Linked DNA regions of Mus musculus. The protein of the gene in region 4 purifies or fractionates together with the protein of the main gene of each other region. This does not show direct contact. Links are inferred from orthologs where the notes say so. Each region holds a gene or a part of one and is shown on either strand. Other genes may lie near its edges. The genes, in order: Anp32e, Adnp, Mta3, Kpna1, Ncbp1, Rbm45 and Tcerg1.

Region 1 (3,500 bases), on a different chromosome or scaffold from region 4:
CAAGAGGGAGACATCACAGCACACGAGGAGAGCAATGATCTATCTGCACACCACACGGGCGCTTGGTGGAAGAAATCCCTGAGCAGAGTCCACCTAGGCGGACACTGCTTAGGAAGCGAATGCAGGTGGTGGCTGGCACACGAGCCCGTGGTCAAGACTGTTTCGGAGGACCTGGATTTCAGCTTCCAAAACTGGTGCCCGCCTGTAAGTACAGCTCCAGAGCACCCTCTTCTGGCACCCACGGGCAACTACATTCACACGCCACACATTCACAGGCATGTTGTTTTTTTGAGACAGGATTTCTCTGCATGGCCCTGGCTGTCCTGGAACTCACTAGGTAGACCAGGCTGGCCTCGAACTCAGAAATCTGCCTGCCTCTGTCTCCCGAGTGCTGGGATTAAAGGCGTGCGCCACCACACCCAGCTGAGCACACACAACTTTTAATTTAAAAAGGTAGAAAAGCTACTGCAGGAGTCACGAGCTAACTGAAGGGAAAAGATCACAGTCTCTGAGTGTCTGCACTGTCACCAACCAGAACCAGGGGCTTTATGTGCATCACCTTGTTAAAGCAACTCCAGGAGTTTGCTTATACAGATGCAGAAAGAGGCTCAGACATTCAGAAAAGGCTTCCTCCATCCTGTGCCACTGAAGGCAGAGTCAATTCAGAAATTCAGGAGAAAAAGAGCAAGCAATGGCAGTCCCCATGAGTGGCCATGAGATTCGGCTGAGTCTGCCCACCTTTCTGAGACCCAAGTCAAAAAAGGCAACTTTTCCTGTCGTCTCATTCTTTTTGGATGCCGGCCAGAGCCCAGATACAGCTTTTCTACCACTGTGGCCTTCCACACCTCCTCTCTAGACCGCGAGCTCCCTACCCTGTGACCACTGGTCTCACCTCAAGGCCAGTTTACGCGGCACTGGGTTTTTCCGTTCTCCCCTCTGTTCTCCTCTTAGGAGCTACTGAGACTTACAGATCACCTGCCCTGAGAGTTTTTAAATAAAACTGTCCTTGGGCTTTAAAACAAAAAAAAGAAAGAAAATCAGCAAGTATTTACAGCTGTCTGGACATAATATGGAGCACCCAGTAGGAGGGAGAAAAAAAGACAGATGCTTATCCATGCTCATCCAGGCATCAGGAAACCACTCACAACCCATCCTACTCATACAGCACTTAGCCCTGGGCCAACCGTCTTCAGGGCGAACAACAAGTTTCCATTCACCTGAATTTCGTCTTTCATTAAGTATGAGAGGCCCACCTCCTCTTCTCCCTCTCCCACTTCTGAGCCAGCTTCATCCTCATCGTCATCTTCCTCCTCTTCATAGCCTTCCGGTGGGCCAGCTTCATCTTCGTCCTCATCTTCCTCATCTTCATCTCCATCTTTAGAAAACATTGTCAAAGGTGAGCAAGCATCCCGGCAACCGCTTCCTCCTGGTACTCATAGGGACTGCGTCCTTCTGGCACGTGGCCCCCATTCATCTTAAACCAACCATGGCAAGTGCCCCTACACTTGGCTTAAAAGAACAAATTCTGGCCAGACAATAGCAGTGCGTGCCTTTAATCCCAGCACTGGGAGGCAGAGGGGCAGAGGGGGAGGCTTGGAGTTGGGGGGGTGGGACTGAGTTTGAGGTCAGCCTGGTCTACAGAGTTCCAGGACAACCAGGGCTACACAGGGAGACCCTGTCTCGATAAAAGGAAACAAAGCAAACCCACCCATTTTACAGCACTGTTACCTGTGACCCAGAAGTACTTTACTAGGACTGGGGATCCAGGTCAGCACGTACCGAGCATGTGCAAGGATGACCCCATCCCAGCACTGCAAAGGACCCTTCCAAAATACATTTTCAAACATTATACACACTGAAGTTGGCTTTACTTTGCGGTCACTTCAAAACCTGCTGGTTGCCAGGCATGGTGGTGAACACCTTTGATCCCAGCACGAAGTGGGCAGAGGCAGGTGGCTCTCTGTTTGGGGTCAGCCTGGTCTACACAGTGAATTCCAGCACAGCCAGAGCTACAGAGACACCCTATCTCCAAACAAGTAAATAGTAAACTAAGAGCCTCACCCTCGTCGTCGTCATCCTCCTCCTCCGAGTCGGGAGCTTCGTTGTCCTCCTGGTCGAATCCGTCCAGGTAGGTGATCTGCTGCAGCAGTTCAAAAATACTTTCTCTATAATCTTCCAGGTTTGTGATCTCACAGTTAAACAAGTCGAGACTTTTCAAATTTTTAAGATTTTGCTGAAAAAGTAAAGTTAAAGGTTACAATCAAGATTTTAAACACTGTGTTCTTGAGTTTTAATGAAAGAGCTGAAAAACATATTCTTGAAGCTAAAGAACAAGTTTATGCACTTTTAGGGTTTGTAAGGCCACTCTCCCAGGCACAGGCAGCAGCACCCGTGGAGAAACTTTGGTTGGTCACCGCTGTGTCCCCAGCAAATGTCTTACAACTTAGTTTCTTGCAGACACCCCAGGCATTTTTGCTGACAGAAGCTGGGCAGATAGGCAACAGCACCCCAAGTGTGCCAGCACACACCATAACCCAGCCAGGGCAGGAAGGTCCGAGTGGGAGGCCAGCCTGGGCTACCAAGACTTAGTCTCCCATCTTTTTCTTCTTAAAGACAGGGTAACGTCCCATTACATAGCCCAAGCTGGCCTTGAATTCTCAGTTGCTTTAGCCTCTAGAGTGCTGAGATTACAGGCAGGTACCACCACAATAAGCCCACGGACAAGGCCTGGCCATGCCTGGCAATGTAGATTCAATCCCTGGGCCCCAGAAAACCAACACGCACAGACGCACGGACGCACTAATAAAACAAACTGTAAACCTGAATATCCATTTTCAGTTTTGTATTATTTATCTTTTCCTTCCTATCAGAAAATAAGCTGGGCGAGGTGGTGCATGCCTTTAATCCCAGCACTCGGGAGACAGAGGCAGGGGGATTTTCTGAGTTCGAGGCCAGCCTGGTCTACAGAGTGAGTTCCAGGACAGCCAGGGGCTATACAGAGAAACTTTGTTTCGAAAAAAAAAAAAAAAAAAGAAAAGAAAAAGAAAAAAAGGAGACAGACTACCTCAAAATATAGGGAAAAAAAAAGGTGTTAAAAAAATACTGAGGGCTGGCGAGATGGCTCAGTGGTTAAGAGCACCGACTGCTCTTCCGAACGTCCCCAGTTCAAATCCCAGCAACCACATGGTGGCTCACAACCATCCATAACGAAATCTGATGCCCTCTTCTGGAGTGTCTGAGGACAGCTACAATGTACTTACATATAATAAATAAATCTTTAAAAAAAATACTGAAAACTTGAAACCAGAATAAAGCCCTGAAGAAAATAAAAGCCAATCATTAAATATATTTGTCACTGATTCAAATATCGCCTGGACTTTTATTTCTTTTTTTTGTTTTGTTTTGTTGTTTTTGTTTTTGGGTTTTGTTTTTCCTTTTTTTTTTTTTAAAGATTTATTTTATTAATATATGTAAGTACACTGTAGCTGTCTTCAGACACT
Region 2 (3,938 bases), on a different chromosome or scaffold from region 4:
TAAGGCTTTCAGATGCTGAGCAAGTCTTGAGATAGACTACTTAAAACTTTATGTCCAAAAGTGCAGAATGCAAATGATTACAACAACATCATCGACTTTAAATTTTTCTCTTAAAAGAGACACATATTTTAAACGTTCAAAACCCATTACTGCAACCAGCTCTAACGAGTTCCTTGAGGAATGTGGCGAGGCTGAAATTTTGAAAGTTCATGTTCTGGTGGTGATCAGGAGGAAGTCTCTAGCTTTCCTGATGCTGCAGTCCCCACCCTCCAAAATGATATACCCACCGGTGTGAATTGACAATGCAGTCCAAAGAGCAAGGCAGGGAACGGAGTCCAGATCCTCAAAATGGCAGTACAGGGAATAACCACTAGGCCACCTATCAGTTCAGTACAAAAAGTGCAACCCTGTGCATCACGATGTAAAAGCTGGGGCCTAGGTTTCGTACTGTGCATCTCACACCTATGGAAATAACAACAGGAGTAAAATCTACAGAAATCCACACACCCTAAAAAGGTGGGTGCGCACCGAACCAAGACTGGTGTCAACACTTGCAAAGGCAGTTGGCTACAGACAGTGTACTGCTGAAAGTGGAAGGCAACACAATTTTGCAGTGAACTCTATTAAGTTTGACAATGAAGAACTCAATAGGGACCTGATGTTTACCAACAAAGCCTTGCAAATCCTGACACCCATCTTTCATGGCTGTCAAAATCACCAACCCATAAAACCTCTCAAGAATGACTTTCCACTCGCAAAAGAGTCGGAGAGATTTGGATTGACCTGATCTCCCAAGCCCGTGACTTTCAGGTTTTAAACAACCCCCTTTACCACCTAGCCTAGGAAAGAGATGTCAACACATCAAACCTTAAGGTGAAGGAATTCTTGAGAAAGGGAACCTATGACCCAAGGATGTGCACCAAGGTGACTGATCAGCAATCAAAGTCTGAGGGTGAACAGGTTTGAAAAAGTAAAAAAAGACAACTTTCCAAACGGAGAAGTGGCTTTCTTAAATAAAATCTCTCTAGCCTCACTTAATCCTTCGCCATGTTGCTGTCAGCTCACCCAGTGCAAGTCTTGCTGGACCCATTTTCCCATGGTCTGTAGAAGGCGCTGTTTAGCACATCCTGTTCTAGTTCTGGGGCCCTTCCCCCCTCTGCAGCCTTACCCAGTGCAGGGAATGCGCCCCCTACTGACTCCCACACTCAGTGCCTTTAACCGACTTGGCTGCAGTGCCTTTTGGGTGGGGGCTGGTATTTTCTCCATGACCATAAACCAGAAGCAACAATGCAGATTTATAAAGAAACTGCACAAAGCTATCCAAGAGACACCCCCCGACACACATCCCATTGTGAAGGTTCAAGATACAGGCACAAGAAGCATCAGGGATGGGAACTGGGCGTTTGGGGCTGGACAGCATTAAAATGGCTAACACAGGAAACAGTTTGGTTCTTTTTCCCTCCTAAGCCTTTGTCTGTGAAATGGGGTTATGACAAGAACTGTCCAGAGGACCTGGTGACTGGAAGAACACTGAGAAGACACTTGGGGTGTGTGGCAGGGAGTGAGACTAAAATGAGTATTAGACTTCTTGGAGAGAAGAAGAGAAGCAATCGCGCCTTTTCTAGCAGACAGGCATCCAGGTTGGGGGTAGGGTGGGGAAGGGAGGAGAAGGACAGGCAGCTCAGAGGAAAGAAGAGGCGAATAAGAGGGTGCTCAAAGAACTACTCCCCATTCATTGCATTCGAAAAAAATTCTTTCCGCGGCTTTCTGGATTTCCATTTTCTGACTGCAAAGTTGATCAGAAAGCTCTAAAGAGGGAGTGCTGACCAGGTAGCCCAGATTGAAAGCAGGGCCGGTGAGGGGCTGTGGTGGTTAGGATGGGAGGGAAACTGGCATGTTGTTGGGGAGGCAAAGACTTTCACCCTCTGCCATGCACGCTCCCCGCCCCCCAGGCCTTTCCCCCCTTTCCAAGCCTAGGGTGGGCAGACCTGGCAGAAGGCTGGTTCCGGGGACTGGGGGAGGGCGGGAGGGGATTAGTTCTGAGGACGAGAGAGCGAGCGGGGTTCGGCTGGGGGCGGGGTGGGTGCGGGAAGATGCCACTAGCCGCAAAAGCCCATGGTGGCCGGCCGGCAGCCCCGCGGGGCGGAGAAGGGGATCGGGCTGCAGGAGGGCTGCGGCCGACTGGGGTTCGAGGCGGTGTGTGCACGCCGAGCACAATGACCGCGCCCGGGATCGGCGGCGGGCAGGGCCGCGGGGCTTACCTTGGCTCGGCCTCGAGGCGTGCGCGGGGCCGGCGTGCTCTAGAGCACGGCGGCGGGTGGACGGCGGCACGGCGATGGCGGCGAGGACGCGCCCGGGGCCTCGTCGCGCTCGGGCTCCGGCTCGAGCCGCGGCCGCGGCTGCTGCCGGGGGGCGCGGCGGGCGCAGCAGAGCGGCGGGCGGCGGCGCGGGCAGTGCAGACAAAGGAGGGGCGGAGGGCGGCGGAGGGCGTGGGGCCGCGGCTTCACCGTCGCGGGCGGGCAGGCGGGCGGCGACGGCCGCGCGGCTCCTCGGCGGCGGAGACCGAGAGAGGGAGCTGTGGCTGAGGCGACGCCAAATCCCCCCCGAGCGAGCGCGGCTGGAGGGGGAGGGGGCCAAGATGGCGGCGGGCGGGCGCTCAGCTCATGGGTCCCGGCGGCGGCGGGTAGACCGGACGGGTGGCGGCGGCGGCGGCGGGCGGGGGAGGGGGCTGGTCCCGCGTCTCCCCTCAGCAGACAATACAAGCGCCTCAGAGCAAGTCCCCGAACCTGCCCTAGCCAAAATGGCGGCCGAGAAAGAGCGGAAGTGACGTAAGCGACTCATTAGCATAAGAGGACTCATTGTCCAGCTGGGGGGGGGCGGGGGCCATGGACCCCCTACTCGGCGACCCCCCCCCAAGGGAGAGCTCTTCGGTCCTCGGCTGCGGCGACACCCACTTTCCTTATGGCAGGGTGGCCCCAGCCCCCCCCAGCCTCTCCTGGGTGAGATTATATAATCCCCACTGAGGGGAGCTCTCGCGAGAACGTGGAGGCTTTGCCATTGCCCCACTAGGAGGCGCCGTGGATAATGGCCGCACTGCGCTCCTGGGTGCCTTCCTCTGACCGCAGCGCCGCCGGCGGAGGCAGAAGTAGCGGGCCGCAGCACGCCTCGACAGTCAGTCAGGTGGCTGCACTGGGGATCCCTGCGCGGGCCCATCTGGGCCTGAACTACATCTGGCAGGAGGGCGCCTGGGGCTGCCCAAGGCCCACGTGCTCAGAGTCAGCTCTCCCAAGCTGGAGGCAAAGCCAAGGGTTGAGCCTGCTGCCTCCTGCCTTTAATGAGGTGTGATGCCCTCGTGTTCCTCCCATTTTTTGAGATGACACAGCTCTGAGGCCATGTCAGCTCTTCTAGTGAACTGGTATGGGATAGACAGGGACTCAGCTTTTCACTTCTGCTGTTCCTTGGACTCAAGTCATTCCTTCAAGTCATCAGATGGCCACTTACCATTGACTCAAGGAAAAAAAAAGTGGGATTTGTAGAGTTGAGGCCATTGGATTGTCAATGGCTAAGGATGAAAACGGTCTGGCACTCACCCACAATTCTGGTATGTGACAGCACCTGCACTGTTGGCTTTGTAACTTTGGATCATCCCCAACCAACATACCATGTCAACATCAACAGCCTCGGTCCACTTTAAAGGAACAGTAGTTACCCTACCGTAGATAAGGATGGCTAAAAGCTCTACAAAGTAGCAAGTGCAGTTGTGAAGGATTGGCCACCCCTCCCCCAACATGAGGTCTCTACAAAGTTGCAAATTTTGAAAGAATCAGACTATATATACAGACAGCTCAGTGTCTAAGGGTTTGGTTGGGAAGTTGAACAAACTTCCACCTAACATTTATTTTTTGCAATTATTAGAACATATATTTAAACCCCTAATC
Region 3 (3,500 bases), on a different chromosome or scaffold from region 4:
CAAGAACCTGACCCATAGCAACAATGACAGAGAGGAGAGCCTCTGCTGTTGTTTGAGATTTAAAACATACAATGTATCGGCTGCGGGCCAGACCATCTCCATAGCCCCATACAACAGGGGCACACATAAGAACCCTGCAAGCAGAGGTGTGCACAGTAAGGCCCGAGGCCAAAAGCAAATATCATAACCTGGCCTTTCCCCACCTGGTGCCCTGGGAGCTTGAGGGCTGTAAGCTCTTATCCCCACACCTGCCTCTTCGCTACAAGTAGCAGACACATTTAATTTGTCAGAGGACATTGAGGAACTCCAAGAGGGGATTTGGTATGTATCACAGCACAAAGTGAATATAACAGCATACAGTTCAAACAAACAAACAAACCCTGCCAGCAAGCATAGATCCACAGAAGAAAACCAGAGCCAATGCACACTCACCTTAGCAAGAGCGCTCAGCCAATATCCACTGATCCCAGCGTGGGCTTGTGTGTGGGGGTGGGGGTGGGGGGGGAGCGGACACCCGCTCACTGAAGAGACGCTGCCCTGTCTCTGAGCAGCAGGCATGCTTTCTAGAACCTTCTCAGTAACCCACCCCACAGCAGAGGACAGTTCCCACACTTAGCCAGGCCTGGCCTGAGCAGACTTACCGTAGCAGCTCTCGCAGGCTCGCCCTAGGAGGGCGCTCTGGGGCTGAAACTGGGTCCCCACAGCTCCATTCACAGTGCCAGCCTTGCCGTTGCTGCTGGAGATTTGGTTGGGATTTGGTTTGCTGCTTTCAATGAAATGTAAAGTGAGATGATAAAAACAATTTGTAGGACAAGGTCAAAAGCAGGCACCTCCTTACTAATTTCCCTTCCCTGAAATACGAACAGATACTTAATCCATTTAGTGAGGAAGACAGAGACTGGGAAAAGCAGGGTGTGAAGATGCACCCAAGTATGGGAGGCAGTGAAGGGAGACAATGAAAAGGAAGTATGGTGGGAGGTGCGAACAAGGATGCTGGGATGGACCCAGGACTTTGTACACTAACCTAAAAAAAAAAATAACAACAACCGCAAACACATACACCAAACAACAACCAAAAGAAAAAGAAAAAAAAAAACAAAACAAAACGAAATACATTGGCACACATGATTCCAGGAACTTACATAAGAGGGTATATTTGGTGCAATGATAAGAAAAAAGAAACAAAATAAAACCAAGGCACTCATTTTGCAAAACAGAGCTATAAAACAGCCAGAGTCCTGTCTCAGGCACTCTGCGGCGAAGGCATGGCTCCTGTGGACACCATACCGGTGCCAATTCTCCACAGCTCGCTGTACTTTTGAAAGACAGAAGCCCCTGGGCTTTATCTTCATCAGACATTTTCCTGACAAAGACAGCCTTTGATTGGGTGTTAAGGTAAGGGCAGTGCTGTGGGGCTGGAAGAGCCCTGGCTCCTCTCCTGCTTGGGATGACGCTGTGGCCGCTACAGTGCTCCCGAGGGGGTGAGGCTAGCTTTGCAGGGCCACCCGCCACACACAGCCAAGGAGCACCTGTCCCAAGCTCGAGATAAAAATTCACATTATGTTTTCTGAGGCAGATTAGCAATTGGATGAGAAAGCTTTTGAGTTCATGTTTTAGATTTGTTTTTCCCTCTTCTGTTTTAAGAAAACACTTTCAGGGGCTGGCAAGATGGCTCAGCGGGTAAGAACACTGACTGCTCTTCGGAAGGTCCTGAGTTCAAATCCCAGCAACCACATGGTGGCTCACAACCATCTGTAATGGGATCTGATGCCCTCTGCTGGTATGTCTGAAGTCAGCTACAGTGTACTTATGTATAATAATAAATAAATCTTTGAAAAAAAAAAAGAAAACACTTTTAGGAGAAAAAAAGACATAGGTCAGGAGGCTAAGTACAAACGCATCAGAGACGCTGGTAAAACTGAATGCAGACTGGCCAGCACAGCTCTAACTCTTTAAACACATAGGCTGCACATGTCAGGGCACTTACTATGTAAACAGAGCTGACAGTAGGCTAACCCCTGCTTAGAGCTGTGCCTACAGCTGCATGCACAGTGCACACCATTCAGAAATACAGACTCACTACATAGGAAACAAAGATCTGCCCCAGAAGAGCTTCCTGCTAGTGAACCTTTCATCTCTGTTACACTGTGAGACCCCTCTCCCCAGCTCAGGACACACACATTCACAAACAAACAAACAAACAAACAAACGAAACAGGTTTTGTTGTTTGTTTAGTATTTTTGGAACAAAAAGAAGAGAAGCGGGGCTGGCACTGTAAGCCTTTAATCACAGCCTCCAGACAGTGGCAGTGGCATCGCTGTGAGTTCAAGGACAGCCTGGTCTACAAAGTGAGTTCTAGGACAGCCAGGGTTATGGAGAGAGTGAGAGAGAGCGAGAGAGAGAGAGAGAGAGCGAGCGAGCAAGAAAGAGAGAGAGAGAGAGAGAGAGAGAGAGAGAGAGAGAGAGTCTCAAAAAAGAAAAGAAAGGAAGTAGTTCAGAGAAACTCAAGTTCCCAAAGAGGTGTTAACATTTCCAGTTGAAAAGGACTCTGCCATGGACTGGCTCAAACAATGCCCCTACTCACTTAAATCTAGTGAAACGTTTCCCAGAAATGTGGAAACTTGGCATTTAAATGCAGGACTAAAGATTTGAGTCTAAGAAGGGCCAGTGCTGGGCTGGAGAGACGGCCCAGTGGTTAAGCGCACTTGCTGTTCTTGCAGACGACCTGGGTTTGATTCCCAGCACCCACACAGTGGCTCACAACCGTTCACAACTCTGATTATTATGTGTAAATAGTAACTTGAGGCAGGTCCAGGGAGGATAATGACAGGTATAAAATGTTCCAGGTTGTGAGAGACCGTGGGAGGGTGTTTTAGAGGAAGGACAGTTTCACGGAATATTTTCATAAACATTTCTTGGTGCCCACAATGCAGTGGCTTTGTGTACTGGTCAGTGTGTTCAGTGTATGCTGCACTTACATTCCTTACTCCTTTTATGATGGAACAAACTCGCAGTGGCCTCACCTAATATTGCGCCACCTTCTCTGAGCTTGGTGACTCGCAGGAACAGTCACCTAACTGTGGACCTAACCTTGACAAGCCGAGGTCAGTCACCTCCCAAACAGCACCGCTTCCAAAGCTCTTCCTAGGTCAAGCTGGTGCCATCTCTCCTCCTGAGCACCCATAGCCAGTCTCCCCATATATGCCCTGCTGCTCCCTGGATCCAAATGAAACCTGTCATCTTCAAGACCATGACTCCTCTTTCAAATTTGTCCATTCTTCAAATCATGGGTACCCATACTGCACTGCCCTGCCCCTGGGGCTGGCTGACTACTCTCTTCACACCAGGCACACCATTTTTCTCCAGGCTCCTCTATTGTGTTCGGTCCTGTCCCAGCTCAGGACACCACTCGCTGTTCAGTGCAACTGCCTGCAGCCATGTGCACTCACACTTACTTCCTCAAAGACTCTTTTTGGGGGGGGGGCATAACAAAATATTTA
Region 4 (3,500 bases):
CCACACAGTAGCTCACAACCACCTGTAATGGAATCTGAGGCACTCTTCCAAAGAATACAATGCTAATATAAAAAGCACAAAGAATAAAGAATCATTAGCAACAAGAGTAAGGTTATAGTTATGGGGAAAGCAGTAGCCAGGGCAAAGATAGGGGATGAAAGAAAAAAAAAAAAATCCATGTGTTAACCTCAGAGCTAAAAGCAGTCAGGCAAACTGCAGTGAACAAATAGGGCAAGAACAAAGACCATGGGTGCCACGGGGAGACAGTGAGAGCATTCTGTTGTGTGAGGCTAGGACTTGGACTCAGGACTGCATACACACTGGTCAAGTAAGTCTATCACTGAGCTGTATCTAAGCCCTACAAACTTGCCCCAACCCCAACCCAAAGTAAATACATTAACGTGGTTAAAAAATCCAAGATATGAGCTGGCGAGATGTATCAGTGCATAGAGTCATTTGCCACAAAAATCTGCAAACCTGGGTTTGATCCCTAAAACTCATTTTAATGAAAGAATAAAACTAACCCAACAAAGATGTCCACCCAGGAGCTATGGCACAAGTATGCACATGCACATAATATACAGACATACAGTATTTTTAAAAATGTTTAAAAAAAAATAAATTTTAAAAATTTAAAAATGTATAAGGACTGCCTAGGTAAGATTCCTTTCCCTTCCTTTCGTTTCCTGTATTCCAACAACCCAGTTATCCTCTGAGATCATCAAAGATAACCATTTCCTATGTATTGTCCCAGAGAAATTTTATACAAGTACAATCAAATATATATTTCCTTTGCCTTGTCTAAGACATCTACACTACACAATGCAAGGGATGAGCAATGATAGAGTACCAATGATAGATCTAGCAAAAGAGTGAATGAAGAGTAGAATCAAGCTAGTACCTGCATTACTGGCATGGGCAACTGTTAAAGCCAAATACTGAGACTGGAAACTAAAACAGATAAAGATAAAGAGGGGGGAAATGAGTTCCCTTGTAGATAGGATAAGCTCAAATTAAAAACACTGTAACTATAACATCTGAGAACACAAATCTAATTGCGTTCCTTTTAGAGATTAGAAAATTGAAGTTGAAGCTGATTGATACAGCTAAAACCTAATTCTGATTCTTATAGCCCATGTACATAAGGGTGATGACTGAAGTTACAGAACCCAGGAATGAGGCTGAAGAACTGCTCCTTAGAACACGCCCACAACAAAGGAGAACACGGAAGGTTACTGTGGATGGCCTGTCTTGTTACTAAAAGTAGAATGGACACTGGGAACTATGAGGAAAGAGTCTTTCTTACAAAAACCTTAGCATATACAAAAGGAGGGCACTACCAGAAAGCATATATACTACTAGAAATCCCATTTGGTGCTTCTAGGATGTGCTACAAATAAAAGCAGAAAGAAAACTGGCTTAGGAAAAAAAAAAACTTTTTTTTTTTCATAAGAGAACCTACAATTGCTACAAGTCACAGGACTTGTAGATACTGAGAATATTAAACACTGTGTCAGTGGGGATGCTTGACAATACAAAATTCAATAACAGAACTATGTTTGTGAAGTCAATGGACTCACTTTACAGAAATCTTACCACTTGTTCATACCTGTGTCTGAATATCATCCCCTGTGACAATGTTTCCCACAGCCCGCAAAGCAGGAGAAACTACTTTATAGTCATTATGCCTGCAACCATAAAAGAAAAAAAAAATGTTAGAGACAACAGTTCTATCCAAAATCTTTTCTTTGGGGATGAAAGTCAAATTAAGGAAGATGTGATTCAATTTTAGAGCAGAAAGGCACTTTATGATTACGGCTATTTAGGGAATCCACCACGGCAGCAGAACTGACCATCACCTTAAAAAGCAATCATTCTCCTTATTTTTAAAATTCTTTTCTAGTAATCTTTACCAGGTACTTTAGCACTGAATTCCACACTTTTACTCTTTGCTACAGGACCTCTCTCCCCCTTACTTGGTCTGGAGCTGCTGAGGTGACCGGGGAGGCACAGGCAACATTTATTCACTGCACCTATTTCTACACTTCAGCAAACTTCAAAACCCAAGTGAGATTCCCATCTCAAATACTTTACTGTTTCCACTGAACTAACAGGCTGCCTTAATGGTCAAGAAAGCTTTCCATAATGCCTGCTGTGTATATGTGGAGACAGATATTGAGGACAGACACCCATGTACCTCCAAGACCAACCCAAACTCTCTTGTTTCACATTTAAGATCTAATGACTAAAATGACGCATGACAAATGTTTCCCAGATTTTTTTTCTTTTTGTTAACTTGTGACAATACTACACTGCTGGTCTACAATCAGTCTTTGATCACTATAACATACAAAACTGTTTTGTACATCAATTAATGTCATGTGGCTTATAACTTTACTATTTCACCATCATAGTATGGCTACATTTTCTTCTAAGTATTAGCTAAAGATTTGGTTAATATAGTCTTAAATTATTTATGCCAAGAGTAAATCTTCCATGCTATCACCAAAAGCATTACAAAAATATGATCTAGTCTGTTTTTTAAGTAAGAAATGGCGATTTATCATAACAATATGCCTTTGATTTCTAGTACCTGGCCTTAGGCCTTCCAATGTGAGTGGAATAACAGAAACATACAGACAACGCTTTTCAAAACATTCTGCTCAAGGACTAATAATGGTAGAAGAATACAGTCTTCATTAGGTCTCAAAAGGGAACTAAAAATGGCATCAATATAAACAAGAGGCAAATGGCCAATGCATAATAAATCAGTAAGATTTATAATCAACTAATACCAGAGTGCTAGGGATGTGGAAAAATATAGTGTACTAGTTAGCATCAGCTGCTAATTTTTAAGTCTCAACTGAGGGGCCACCTGGATCAGAGTATACCATGCTGTGGCTGTGAGATAGATAGTCTTGGCTGATGACTGATCATCAGGAGGGCAGGGCCCAGTCCACTGTGAACAGCATCAACCCTAGAGGTAAACTGGCTGAGCATGAGTTGAGCAGCAAGACCGACATGCCAGTAAGCAGCAGTCATCCAGTCTGTACTTAGTCACTTGTCTGGCTTCCCGCAGTGACAGACTGTGACCTGGAGGGAAAAGTTAAACCCTTTCCTCTCCTCATCTAAGGTCACTTCTAAGACTTTGAGTCATGGCATCAGGAGGGAAAACCTAGGAGTGCAAGAGACACTTTCTTAAAGATCATCTTACATCAGAAGTTCCACAAGCCTCCTGCAGACTCCTGCATCGATGACTGCTTGGATTTTATCATTGGGTCCATCTGACAGGTATGAGAGAGCCCAGCAAGCATCAGCTAGTACATCAGTGTCACTGACAAACAGTAACCAAGAAAGGACATTCAGACAGGGAGAAACCTAGGGGGAAAAAAAGATGATTACAACTTCTGGAGTGAGCTAAGACACTCATGAAGCCTACCAGACAGACAGACGCTGAGTGAGTTATGGAGTGGTTTACAATTCTAGCTAGGCACTGTCAA
Region 5 (3,500 bases), on a different chromosome or scaffold from region 4:
GTCGGGACGGAGACTAACTTGTCCCACCTCTCCTCAGCCTCTCCAACTGTGTCTCTTCTCCTCTGTGCCAGACTTAGAGATATACAAGTTTCTTCTAGGAAGCCACTTAGAGGTGGTAAACTAGGGAACAGTTTGTGGTCAACATCAGTGCCATAGCATGTGGCAGTTTTATGTAACTTGGAAAAAGCCTAGTGTCACGGCAATGGCTCGGACTACCCTGCAGATTCTGTCCCAACCTGTGAGCCCTCAGGTCGGCAGGTGACTTACTCGTTTGTGCTGCCTCGCCAGTTTCTCTTTAGCTTCTTCTAGCTCTTTCTGGATCTTCAGAACATGTTTGTTCATCTTACGAATTGTAGAGTGCAAAATTTCCCACACAAACAACCTTAAAGTAATACAGCATTTGGTTAATGTATGTTATGCTACTGCAGAGGAAATATCTACAGTTTCAGCCTATCATTCTTAGGGGCTGATGGGGCCTTCTGTCCCCTGGGAAGAATGAAGCAGTCTTTTCCAGCAACACTAGTTCAGCCCTGCGGTGAATTATGAAGCATCCGTCTCCACACATTAGTCAGGCAGGCGGCTCCCAGGGGGCAGGACCATAACCTGTACTTGTCCACCCCTTAATAAAACACCAACATTAGAGTTGGTTCTCCTACCATGTGAGCTCTGAGGATCAAACCCAGGGATCTCAGACCATTAGGCTTGACAGCAAGCCCCCTGACCCTCTGAGCCATCTTGTTGGCCCTGTAAAAACTTTTGATCATATGACACTTCAGGCCTCGGTATATTTCTGACAAGTGTGCTCTGCAAATAGTGGGTGTAGTGGAAAAGTTAAGACTGTCACAGATTTTATTTCATTTGTTTTCACAATATGTTAGCCCTTGCTCTTTGGTCCTGATCACTATAAAGCCTGTGTAACATCACACTGTTACTGGTGATACAGTTCTGGTTCAGACCTCGTAAAGTCCCGAGACAGCTCCGATGAGAAGATCCAGTTTGCTACTGCTGCACAGTCGACAATCTGCGTACGAATCATCTTATCAACCAGCACAGCAATCATCTACGACAAGGAAGAGACAAGCAGGCACGGTGGTAAACAATGCTAGGAAATGAAATAGTGCGGCTATGAAATGTGATTTCAATGGCAAGAGAATTGACCAGTTTAAGCCATAGCTCGTCTTTTTTTTCTTCTAGACACGGTTTCATATAGCTAGGGCTGGCCTTGAACTCCTGATTTTCCTGCCATTACTTCCCAAGTGCTGCCATTAGTCTTGATTAGACTAGTCAGCCTTTAGATTTATTCTGCCTTCTGCTATGCTCTAATATTATAAGAAAACTATATTAATAATAAAGATTGCATGAAAAGACAACTCTTGAATGGTAGCACATACTCTTTAAGAAAACTTTCATTGATAATACCTCTATAAAAATATATAAGCCGGGCGTGGTGGTGCACGCCTTTAATCCCAGCACTCGGGAGGCAGATGCAGGCGGATTTCTGAATTCGAGGCCAGCCTGGTCTACAGAGTGAGCTCCAGGACAGCCAGGGCTACACAGAGAAACCCTGTCTCGAAAAACAAAAACAAAAACAAAAGAAAAAAAAGTATATATATATGTCTGGCCCTACTTAAAAATGTTATGGGTCTTGTTTGTAGAAATGGATAATCATGACAACTATTTCCTACCAAATATTGTGGTCAAACAATTTTCTTCCTCAGCATCTAATATGTGTGGAATTGCTTTAGCACAAAACCAATCCCAATGCCACCTGAAGAATGTTACCAAGGTCCGGCGAGATGACTCAATGGCTAAGACACTCGATGGCAAGTTGGACAAGCCAGGTTCAATACCCAGGACTCACCATGGTTGAAGGAGAGAACAGACCTGAAATTTGTCCTCTGACTTCGCATAGGCCCCGTGACCCTCCCATGCACCCCTAAGCAACAGCTCAGTGTAATTTAAAAATCTACCAAGAAGAATGTATCAGTTAAGTATTTCCATAACACCCAGTGTACAGACTTAAAAAACATTCTACTACTGGCAGACTCCAATCTACCTAATGTCATACGTGTGTATCTCCATAGCCAGGCCCACGTCCCAGTGAGCAGGCGTTACCTGTGGATGGTTCCTCCACACTTCAAACATGACTCTCAGCACGTGCAGCTTCCCCTTATCACTCTCCGCCAGAGTTTTGAAGACTTCATGAAACCTTTAGACAAAGGTGCAAAGTACCAGAGTTACTCAGAAGCCCCTTTAGTGTCACTGAATTTAAAATATAGCACATAATAAAAGACAAAGAGTCATCCCTAAGCCCACACATGTGTTGGAACTGCGCCCGAGGAAGCTTCATCAGCTTAGGAGAGTGCTCTTTCCTCATGGACTCTTACCAGATTTGCTATCGTTACATGCCAACCCTCGGGCAGGCTCTCGTTGCTGCTTCCTCTCCTGGGAAAGGCGTCAAGATAGGCCGGACCCTCAGCCTGTGTAGACGACTGTCCCCGGGACCTAGGCTGGCACTGCTTTACCCACCACATGCACAGCTACACTGCACACACTCAAGGAAGCCACCACAAACCAAACCCCACTCTAGCAAACTATGTAAGAAGATCTTCATATTTAACAACTTTAGGCAAGTTAGTACAGCACTGGTGCTCAAATGTATATACTTACTTTGCAAGAGCACTGAAGGAGTGACTGAAGGACTTGGCAGCTAAGTGCAGCAGAGTCTGGACAAAGACCTCTATTTTCAAAGGGTTAAATCTGAACCCTTCATCTGAAAAATATTTTATAGTAAGATTTAAAAAAAGTTAACTGTCGGGCAGTGGTGGTGCATGTCTATAATCCCAGCACTTGGGAGGCAGAGACAAGCAGATTTCTGAGTTCGAGGCCAGCCTGGTCTACAGAGTGAGTTCCAGGACAGCCAGGGCTACACAGAGAAACCCTGTCTCGAAAAAACGCCCCCCCCCTCCCAAGTTAACTATAGTAATTCTTTGGTGCTACACCTTGTACTGCTAATAACATATGAACATATAATAATGTTCTAGTAAAAGCAACACCACACTCCTGATTTCACACATTGACAACATAAAACTAAGTTGGGCCAGCCAAGGCTACATAGCAAGACCTCATGTCAATCCCTCGTGAAAAAGCAGACCCTTAACTCTCTCTCATGGGAGAGTTCTTCTATATAGCTCAGGGTTGTTTTTATGGCAGGCTCTCACTATGCACTGTTGTTGGCCAGGAACCTCAAACTTGGTTGGATTAACAGGCTTGCACTACCACTCCTGGCTTATGACCCGTTTGCTTAAAACCATCACACATCCCTCTTCCATATTCTGATTACGAGATGTCAAAATGTTAAAGCAAAACCAGCAAAACCTTTAAACCTACAGCTTACAACTTCTGCCAAGTCTAAACCTCCTGTTACCACAGCTGACTAACACGTCTTCAGTGCACTCCCAAGCAAAGGGCTGTCTCTGCAGACCAGTCATCTGCTCTTT
Region 6 (3,500 bases), on a different chromosome or scaffold from region 4:
TCATATCCTTCCAGCCAGAAAAACAAAAACCCAAACCCAAGCCATACCCCCCAACCTCCTACTCTGGCAAAACTAGGTTTATCCTTCAGGTCTCAGGACCCATCCTGCTTCAAAGAGAAATCTCAGAATTTCTGTGGGACCTTCCACTGCTGCTCTGTGTAACAAATGTCCTGTTCATGAGGTAGAATGCTTTGTTTACAACACACTTCGCATGCCAGCCCAGTGCATGCCCAGCACAGAGGGACGCAGTGGTTCAAGAACAAAACCACCAGACCCAAACCTAAATGAATCAGTTACATAAGGTCGACACATCTGTACATGACTGACATTGTGTGTGGCGCTTTTACATGCTACCTATTTGTTTAACTAATATACAATCTTAGAGGGAGGGGAAAAGGCAAATGTCTAAAAAATAGCTATGGTAGATATAAAGTTATATTAAGATACAAAAATAGGTAAGACCCTCCTCTTGCCTTTATTCTTACTACATATTATCCCCTATAATTAAGTGATTTGCCCTCCATGTCATAACCCTCAGGATCCAACCAAGTGTGGGTAAAATGTAAGATGTTTAGTAAACACTGAATTATAACATGGAGAAAACATAACGTCAAAACAACAGGTCTATGCAAATGAATCTTCTCTCAAGAGACAAGTGACTTTTTCCATTCTCTACCTTCCTGTATATCTTAAGTCTTAAAAAAGAAATCAGGGAAATTCCGTGTGTAGGTCAGGATGTGTGTCTGACGGAGAAAAGAAAATGAGCATAAAGAAAAGATCAGTTAAGTCTTTAGAACTCAGAGCAGGTCACGGCGCAGCAGCGGGAGTGTGAGAATAGTGGTTACTGGTTTAAATGAGTGTACTTGCTTACAACTACCAACGGGTAGCTTTGAGAACCTTACCAGAATATATCCTCCAACACGTCTAGTGGCAAAGGATGGGGATTAAACACAACAAACAGCCTTTCTTTCACTGGAGTTTCAGGCGGCGCTTTCTTTTTGCACGACGGAAGTACAACATCTGTCTGGATTTGAGGCGCCTGTGAGGCAGCATTTCCTCCATATTGCTGCAGAAGAGTCCGGCACAAAGGGAGAGAAAAGAAGGCAGCCCTTCAGCGCTTTGGGGACAAGAGCTAAGGGTGTGTTCCGGCACCCACGTGGTCTTTTACTACAGCTCTGAAAGTGTTCTCGGTACAGACGCAACACATTCTTACCCACTTACCAGAAACTGCTGCTGACTCGTGGTACTCCACACCATCGACGCGAGCTGGGCCGCCACCATCTGTGTCGCCATTTTCCTGATGAGTCTGGAAACAACAACCGACGGTTTATGGGAAACTAGAAATACTCAGCATCTTAACAATAATTTGTTTGCTGTGGCTTCCTCACCTGAGGTGAACTGTTTATTTTTATCCGTCAAGCCAGAGTCACATGGCCCGCGGTTTGACTTGGGCCACCCTGGAATGGTACTTACTCTGTCATATTACTCCCGTCATCCAGGAAAGAGACGACTATCCGATTCCCAGGAGGGTACTGGAACCCATGCAGTTTGTATTTTGCATAAATAGCTGATGCTACGTTAAAATACTGAACCACACCATGACCTAAAATAGAGAATATACAGACATGCAAAAGGCAGCATCCTTAAGGCCTAAGTTACAATGTATTCCTTTCTTTCTCTTTTTTAGTTTTTAAATTTTACATGCATTGGCATTTTGCCTGCATGTATGTCTGTGTGAGGTGTCAGAAGCTCTGACACTGGAGTTACAGACAGGTGTGAGCTGCCAGGTGGGTGCTGAGAATTGAAAGAGCAGCCAGTGCTCTTAACCAAGGAGCCTCCTCTCCAGCCCCAGTTACAATGTATTTCAAAGGTGGAAAAATACAGGACTTCCATTTTTCTCACACAACCAGTAAGTACAAATCAAAGATAACAGAGAACAAAGTTCTGCTAAACATGCATGTAACATTATTTGTAGGCAATGAAATGTAAGTTAGATCTTTGTAAAATACAAACATTTTTAAGAAATTGTAGTATCAGTATATATTCTATCTAATGAGTTGAATTTAAAATATATATTTATTCTTCTCTTAGCAGGAACTTGCTAGACCAGGCCATTGGCCTTAAACTTGTAATCCCACTGTTTCGGTCTCCCATCGAGTCCTGGGATTACAGGCGCTTAGCACCAGGCCCAGCTTACGTTTTCTTATATAATAGCCATATACATAAAAACCAAAATCTTAATTCTTTGAAGCTAAGAGTTTTTCTTGTTATACTGAACAGGAAACAATGAGAACTTGTCCACGGATATAGTCAGCTAGTTGCAACCGTGGAGGAGGGTGGTCTGTATGAAAATCAGAAACGTTGCCCGTTTCACATTCCTTTGAAGAGACTTCAGCTCTGGGGCTGGGTGTCAATTGAGCGGGCGGTGCGGGGGCAGGGAGAGGTTTATCCCGGAGCCCAGGGGCTTGTGACACAACCAAGAAGCTTTCATGACTTCTCTGTCGTGAGAAACACAGTGCTGGCCTCTGTAAATCACACGGACTGAGTAGGTTTTACTGGACTGAGTAGGTTTTACTGTCAGTCTGACGTAACCTAGGGCTGCCCGGAAGGAGGAGCCTCAGCTGGAGACCCGCCTGGACCAGACCCCCCGCTGGCGTGCTGTGAGGAAGGGCCCTGACTGTAACTACCACGAATCAGAGAATGTAGGGAGAGGTGCAGAACACTTAGGATGCCAGAGAGGTAGAGAGACCTGGAAATGCAACGAGGAGGACGCTTTAAACACTTTATATGCATCAACTCAAAGAGCCAAACCAGACCCTAGCCTGAGGCACTGTTGTTTTACAATGGGAAATAGAGAATTCTTTATTTTGTGAGAGTTAAAATATCTTTTATGGTGAATGATTTTTATATAAAAAAAGATAACATTCTTGAGGGTTTATTTACTAAGGTATTGTTGGATTTTAAACTATAAAATAGGAAAAACGGAGGGGCCAGAAGAAGGTAGTGAGATTAAAGTACATGATATACCTAACAAAAATGTCATTGTGGGGCTGGCGAGATGGCTCAGTGGATAAGAGCACTGACTGCTCTCCCAAAGGTCCTGAGTTCAAATCCCAGCAACCACATGGTGGCTCATGACCATCCATATGAGATCTGACAACCTCTTCTGGTGCTTCTGAAGACAGCTACAGTGTACTTCTGTATAATAAAAAATAAATCTTTGGGCCAGAGTAGACTCTGGCTTCACATGGTTAAAAAAAAAAAAAAAAAAAAAAAAGAAAAGAAAAAAGAAAAAAAATTCACTGAATAATAAACCTGTATGTTAACAAAAAGAACTAAAACAAACAACAACAAAAACCACCTAGAAAAAGAAAACATAAACTTCCTGCAGCATAAACAGCATAAGAAAGTATCATGTGTGAATGAAAACTGATTTCACAGAGCACTGCAAACTTAACAACAGCAAAACATCATTTTACCGTAATTTGAATAAGGATCTC
Region 7 (2,900 bases), on a different chromosome or scaffold from region 4:
AACATGTCATGTAATTTCTATGACACTTAATAGATTTATACTAGTAAGTAGTATGGATATGAATGTTATAGGTAACAAATACAGTTTGGTCAGTTGGTATTCCTCTTTCTAGGCTCTGTGGCCATCATAAAGGGTGGGAGACAATGGGGAAGATAACTAACATTGGGATCTTCCTACACGCCTTACTTATTATGTGGTGCTTTGCTAAGGGCAACCTGTGAGAACAACATAGGATTTATACACACTCACACCCCAGGCACTGGGAAGGGGTGTAAAGCCAGAAAAACTTGGCTGAGCGTCAGAGGTAAGTAAGTTCACGGCATGACATATGACAGGTAGAAAGGACGTCTAAAAGGTGCAAACCTTTGATATGCTAGAAAGACAAAGAACTACAATATTCTTGCTATTAATTAACAGGTAGAATTAAAAGACTGATTAGACACACATATAAACATACACACACATACAGGCACACAAAAGAAAGGGAGAATAGGCTTTCTACAAAATTTCTTGTCTTTTATATTAGAAATACAGCATTATAGTCAAGCCTTTAAAACCTATATTCTAAGATTTTGTTGTCTCAAATATCACATGCTTTTTTCAAAACAAAACAAAACAAACAAAAAAAAAAACAATGACCCAAACAAGAAAGCAAACAAAGAAAAAATAAAAAACAGGTCTACGAGTTTTTAAAAAATATATTGTGTAACAATAATCATTTACAATCCACATATATAAAAGGGTTGGTTTATTGTAGTTCAAATACATAAATTCAACATTCAAACATCTTAAACTTTTTAGAAACAAAAGTTCAAACATTCAAACAGGAGTAGTTTACAGGAACACCCAGAAAGGGAGTTTTGTTGTCTAATTGAGAATATTGGTAGAGATCATTCAATGGAGAATAAAGAATGTTTAAACCAGGATTCCACTCTGGCCAACATGTTAGTTATGAATGTGGTTCATACCTGAGAAGAAATTACTAAATACATCTTCTCCTGGGGTAAACAAGACTTGGCCTATAACTCCGGAGGGGAGAATCAAAGCACATACGTGAACAAATACAACTAAACTGCTCTTTAGAGACAAAGGTAAAAGTACGTCCATTATAATAACCATAGTCTCTGGAAGAATTCAATTCAGTGTTTTCTCTTTTACCCGCTTAAAAAACAAAATCAAAAACAAACTCCAACTTCAGTTTTCCTGGAGTCTGTGGTATTTCCAAGCTCCTACCACAAACTCTCCTGTCTTGCTGAGTAACACTGCTAGTAAGAACATCACCAAGTCACTGGCTTCCACACCTTATAAAAGGATGACTTTTAGCTTCGAGATTTTAAATTTACTAGAGACAGCCTATATTTGAGTATGTATGTCAGTCATGCCACACAAAGAAAAGCATTAACTATTTTCAAAGTGTTCCGTTCTGAGACTGCCCACAACCGCTTCTCCTTCTGTTCGTCAGGTGATTTTGCAATAGGTTGACTAATGCATATATGTAAAAACCTGAAAATCTGGCTCATGCAAGCATTTTCAATTAACAGCGAGCCCGTGGAAGGGTATTTAGAATTATTTTGTTGATCGTCTAGTGGGCTCTGATGCTGTGGGAGGTGGGGGTGGACCTCGGCGATCCAGGTCATCAACATAGGCCACAATTAGTTTCCTCCTCTCCTCGGGGACACAGTCCAGTACTAGATACCGTTTGTCATTCTGCAAAATCTTTTCTACATCTTTCAGGTGCTGATCAGATTCTTGGATTAACTTTTTGGATCTGAAATAAGAGAAAAAGCACAAGAATTACTGACTGCTGTTCGCTGGTCTTGCAGAAATGAGCCGGAAATGTCCATCTAGTTCCTAATTGTGTTTCCACTTTTTTAAAGAAAAATTTCACTGCAGCAGTCACCTTTGTAAATCGCCTCAGCAAAGACTCCAGGGAGTGAAAGGGCCTCAGAAGCTGAATTACCCTCCCACCCCTACTGGTGGTCCCTCCAGATCAGGGCTGAGGGTGGGTAGGTAAATCTTGCCCGTGCTGTACCTGTTCTGTGGATGAACAGAGGACTTCAGTCTGCGGGGCTGCCAATCCCAGCATCTTTCACAAGCTTTCACTTTCACATCTTTCACTAAATTAACTATAAAAATGTAGAAAGAAGTCTTACTTCACATCTAATTTAAAAGCCCAAGCTGATGCAAAACATTAAGGATCCTGACCAAAAAATCCAAATGACAAAACACCTATGAAGCACACCCTCAGCACTATCTATCCTCCCGGGCACACCCTTCCTCCTTCGTCAAAGCTGTCTTCTAAAGGAGGAAATGCTGGCGCATGAAGCCTAACTGCTCTCCTGCACACAGACTGTAGGCCATGCCAAAAACGTTTCCTGGTGAAAGGTTACTAGTGGTGATGGACCACTGGGTGTGCAACACCAAAACCTTTTTTAAAGGCTCTGCTTTTTAATCTTTTTAAAAAATAAGTGTATCCAGCAACTCCTTTCCTGTTGGAGGAAAATTATGTTTCTGCCTTAAGAAGATGAGTTCAGGCATTCATGGTCTAACCCCACTCAGCAGTCTTCAGAGGAGGCAAAGATAAGTTGTTATAGTGAAAATTAATTTAAAGTCTCTTTGTGAATTACAATTCTTAAAGAGTTGAGGGTCCTCAAAAAAGAAAAAAAAAAGCAGTGAAGTAAAAATAAAAGTGTATTTTAAAAACTGGATGTACATAACACAAAATGTGAATTGACATCTGGGCCCTTTCTTTAAAAAAATAAAAAGTACTGTGGAATGGCCTGTATCTGCCCGTGAGGAAAGCTGGCATCTTCTGACTCCTAAAATGAACACTGTCAACATGTGTGTGAGTGAAAAGTATGCTCTGGCCATTAGAGTACAGGCTAGGAGACAGCAGCTGC

The links.
Region 1: the proteins of Kpna1 (region 4) and Anp32e purify together in Homo sapiens (affinity purification with mass spectrometry; 4 studies listed by BioGRID and IntAct, with this or other methods). This does not show direct contact. The link is inferred for Mus musculus from reciprocal best matches to the Homo sapiens genes KPNA1 and ANP32E.
Region 2: the proteins of Kpna1 (region 4) and Adnp purify together in Homo sapiens (co-immunoprecipitation; 3 studies listed by BioGRID and IntAct, with this or other methods). This does not show direct contact. The link is inferred for Mus musculus from reciprocal best matches to the Homo sapiens genes KPNA1 and ADNP.
Region 3: the proteins of Kpna1 (region 4) and Mta3 purify together in Homo sapiens (affinity purification with mass spectrometry; 3 studies listed by BioGRID and IntAct, with this or other methods). This does not show direct contact. The link is inferred for Mus musculus from reciprocal best matches to the Homo sapiens genes KPNA1 and MTA3.
Region 5: the proteins of Kpna1 (region 4) and Ncbp1 purify together in Homo sapiens (co-immunoprecipitation; 3 studies listed by BioGRID and IntAct, with this or other methods). This does not show direct contact. The link is inferred for Mus musculus from reciprocal best matches to the Homo sapiens genes KPNA1 and NCBP1.
Region 6: the proteins of Kpna1 (region 4) and Rbm45 purify together in Homo sapiens (co-immunoprecipitation; 3 studies listed by BioGRID and IntAct, with this or other methods). This does not show direct contact. The link is inferred for Mus musculus from reciprocal best matches to the Homo sapiens genes KPNA1 and RBM45.
Region 7: the proteins of Kpna1 (region 4) and Tcerg1 purify together in Homo sapiens (co-immunoprecipitation; 3 studies listed by BioGRID and IntAct, with this or other methods). This does not show direct contact. The link is inferred for Mus musculus from reciprocal best matches to the Homo sapiens genes KPNA1 and TCERG1.

The regions. Positions count from the first base shown.
Region 1 is NC_000069.6:95,935,757-95,939,256, reverse strand, and holds part of Anp32e (acidic leucine-rich nuclear phosphoprotein 32 family member E), read right to left. Parts: intron 2,234-3,500; coding exon 2,062-2,233; intron 1,376-2,061; coding exon 1,218-1,375; intron 1-1,217. UniProt on the Homo sapiens protein: Histone chaperone that specifically mediates the genome-wide removal of histone H2A.Z/H2AZ1 from the nucleosome: removes H2A.Z/H2AZ1 from its normal sites of deposition, especially from enhancer and insulator regions.
Region 2 is NC_000068.7:168,204,313-168,208,250, forward strand, and holds the start of Adnp (activity-dependent neuroprotector homeobox protein), read right to left. Parts: upstream 2,801-3,938; 5' UTR 2,262-2,800; intron 463-2,261; exon of another isoform or gene 288-462; intron 1-287.
Region 3 is NC_000083.6:83,786,184-83,789,683, reverse strand, and holds part of Mta3 (metastasis-associated protein MTA3), read right to left. Parts: intron 767-3,500; coding exon of another isoform or gene 764-766; coding exon 642-763; intron 1-641. UniProt on the Homo sapiens protein: Acts as a component of the histone deacetylase NuRD complex which participates in the remodeling of chromatin.
Region 4 is NC_000082.6:36,021,363-36,024,862, reverse strand, and holds part of Kpna1 (importin subunit alpha-5), read right to left. Parts: intron 3,379-3,500; coding exon 3,215-3,378; intron 1,689-3,214; coding exon 1,610-1,688; intron 1-1,609. UniProt on the Homo sapiens protein: Functions in nuclear protein import as an adapter protein for nuclear receptor KPNB1. Binds specifically and directly to substrates containing either a simple or bipartite NLS motif.
Region 5 is NC_000070.6:46,166,011-46,169,510, reverse strand, and holds part of Ncbp1 (nuclear cap-binding protein subunit 1), read right to left. Parts: intron 2,774-3,500; coding exon 2,671-2,773; intron 2,210-2,670; coding exon 2,116-2,209; intron 1,061-2,115; coding exon 957-1,060; intron 383-956; coding exon 268-382; intron 1-267. UniProt on the Homo sapiens protein: Component of the cap-binding complex (CBC), which binds cotranscriptionally to the 5'-cap of pre-mRNAs and is involved in various processes such as pre-mRNA splicing, translation regulation, nonsense-mediated mRNA decay, RNA-mediated gene silencing (RNAi) by microRNAs (miRNAs) and mRNA export.
Region 6 is NC_000068.7:76,376,484-76,379,983, reverse strand, and holds part of Rbm45 (RNA-binding protein 45), read right to left. Parts: coding exon 3,480-3,500; intron 1,604-3,479; coding exon 1,474-1,603; intron 1,307-1,473; coding exon 1,222-1,306; intron 1,067-1,221; coding exon 903-1,066; intron 1-902. UniProt on the Homo sapiens protein: RNA-binding protein with binding specificity for poly(C). May play an important role in neural development.
Region 7 is NC_000084.6:42,573,386-42,576,285, reverse strand, and holds the end of Tcerg1 (transcription elongation regulator 1), read right to left. Parts: intron 2,127-2,900; exon of another isoform or gene 2,033-2,126; intron 1,769-2,032; coding exon 1,567-1,768; 3' UTR 501-1,566; downstream 1-500. UniProt on the Homo sapiens protein: Transcription factor that binds RNA polymerase II and inhibits the elongation of transcripts from target promoters. Regulates transcription elongation in a TATA box-dependent manner.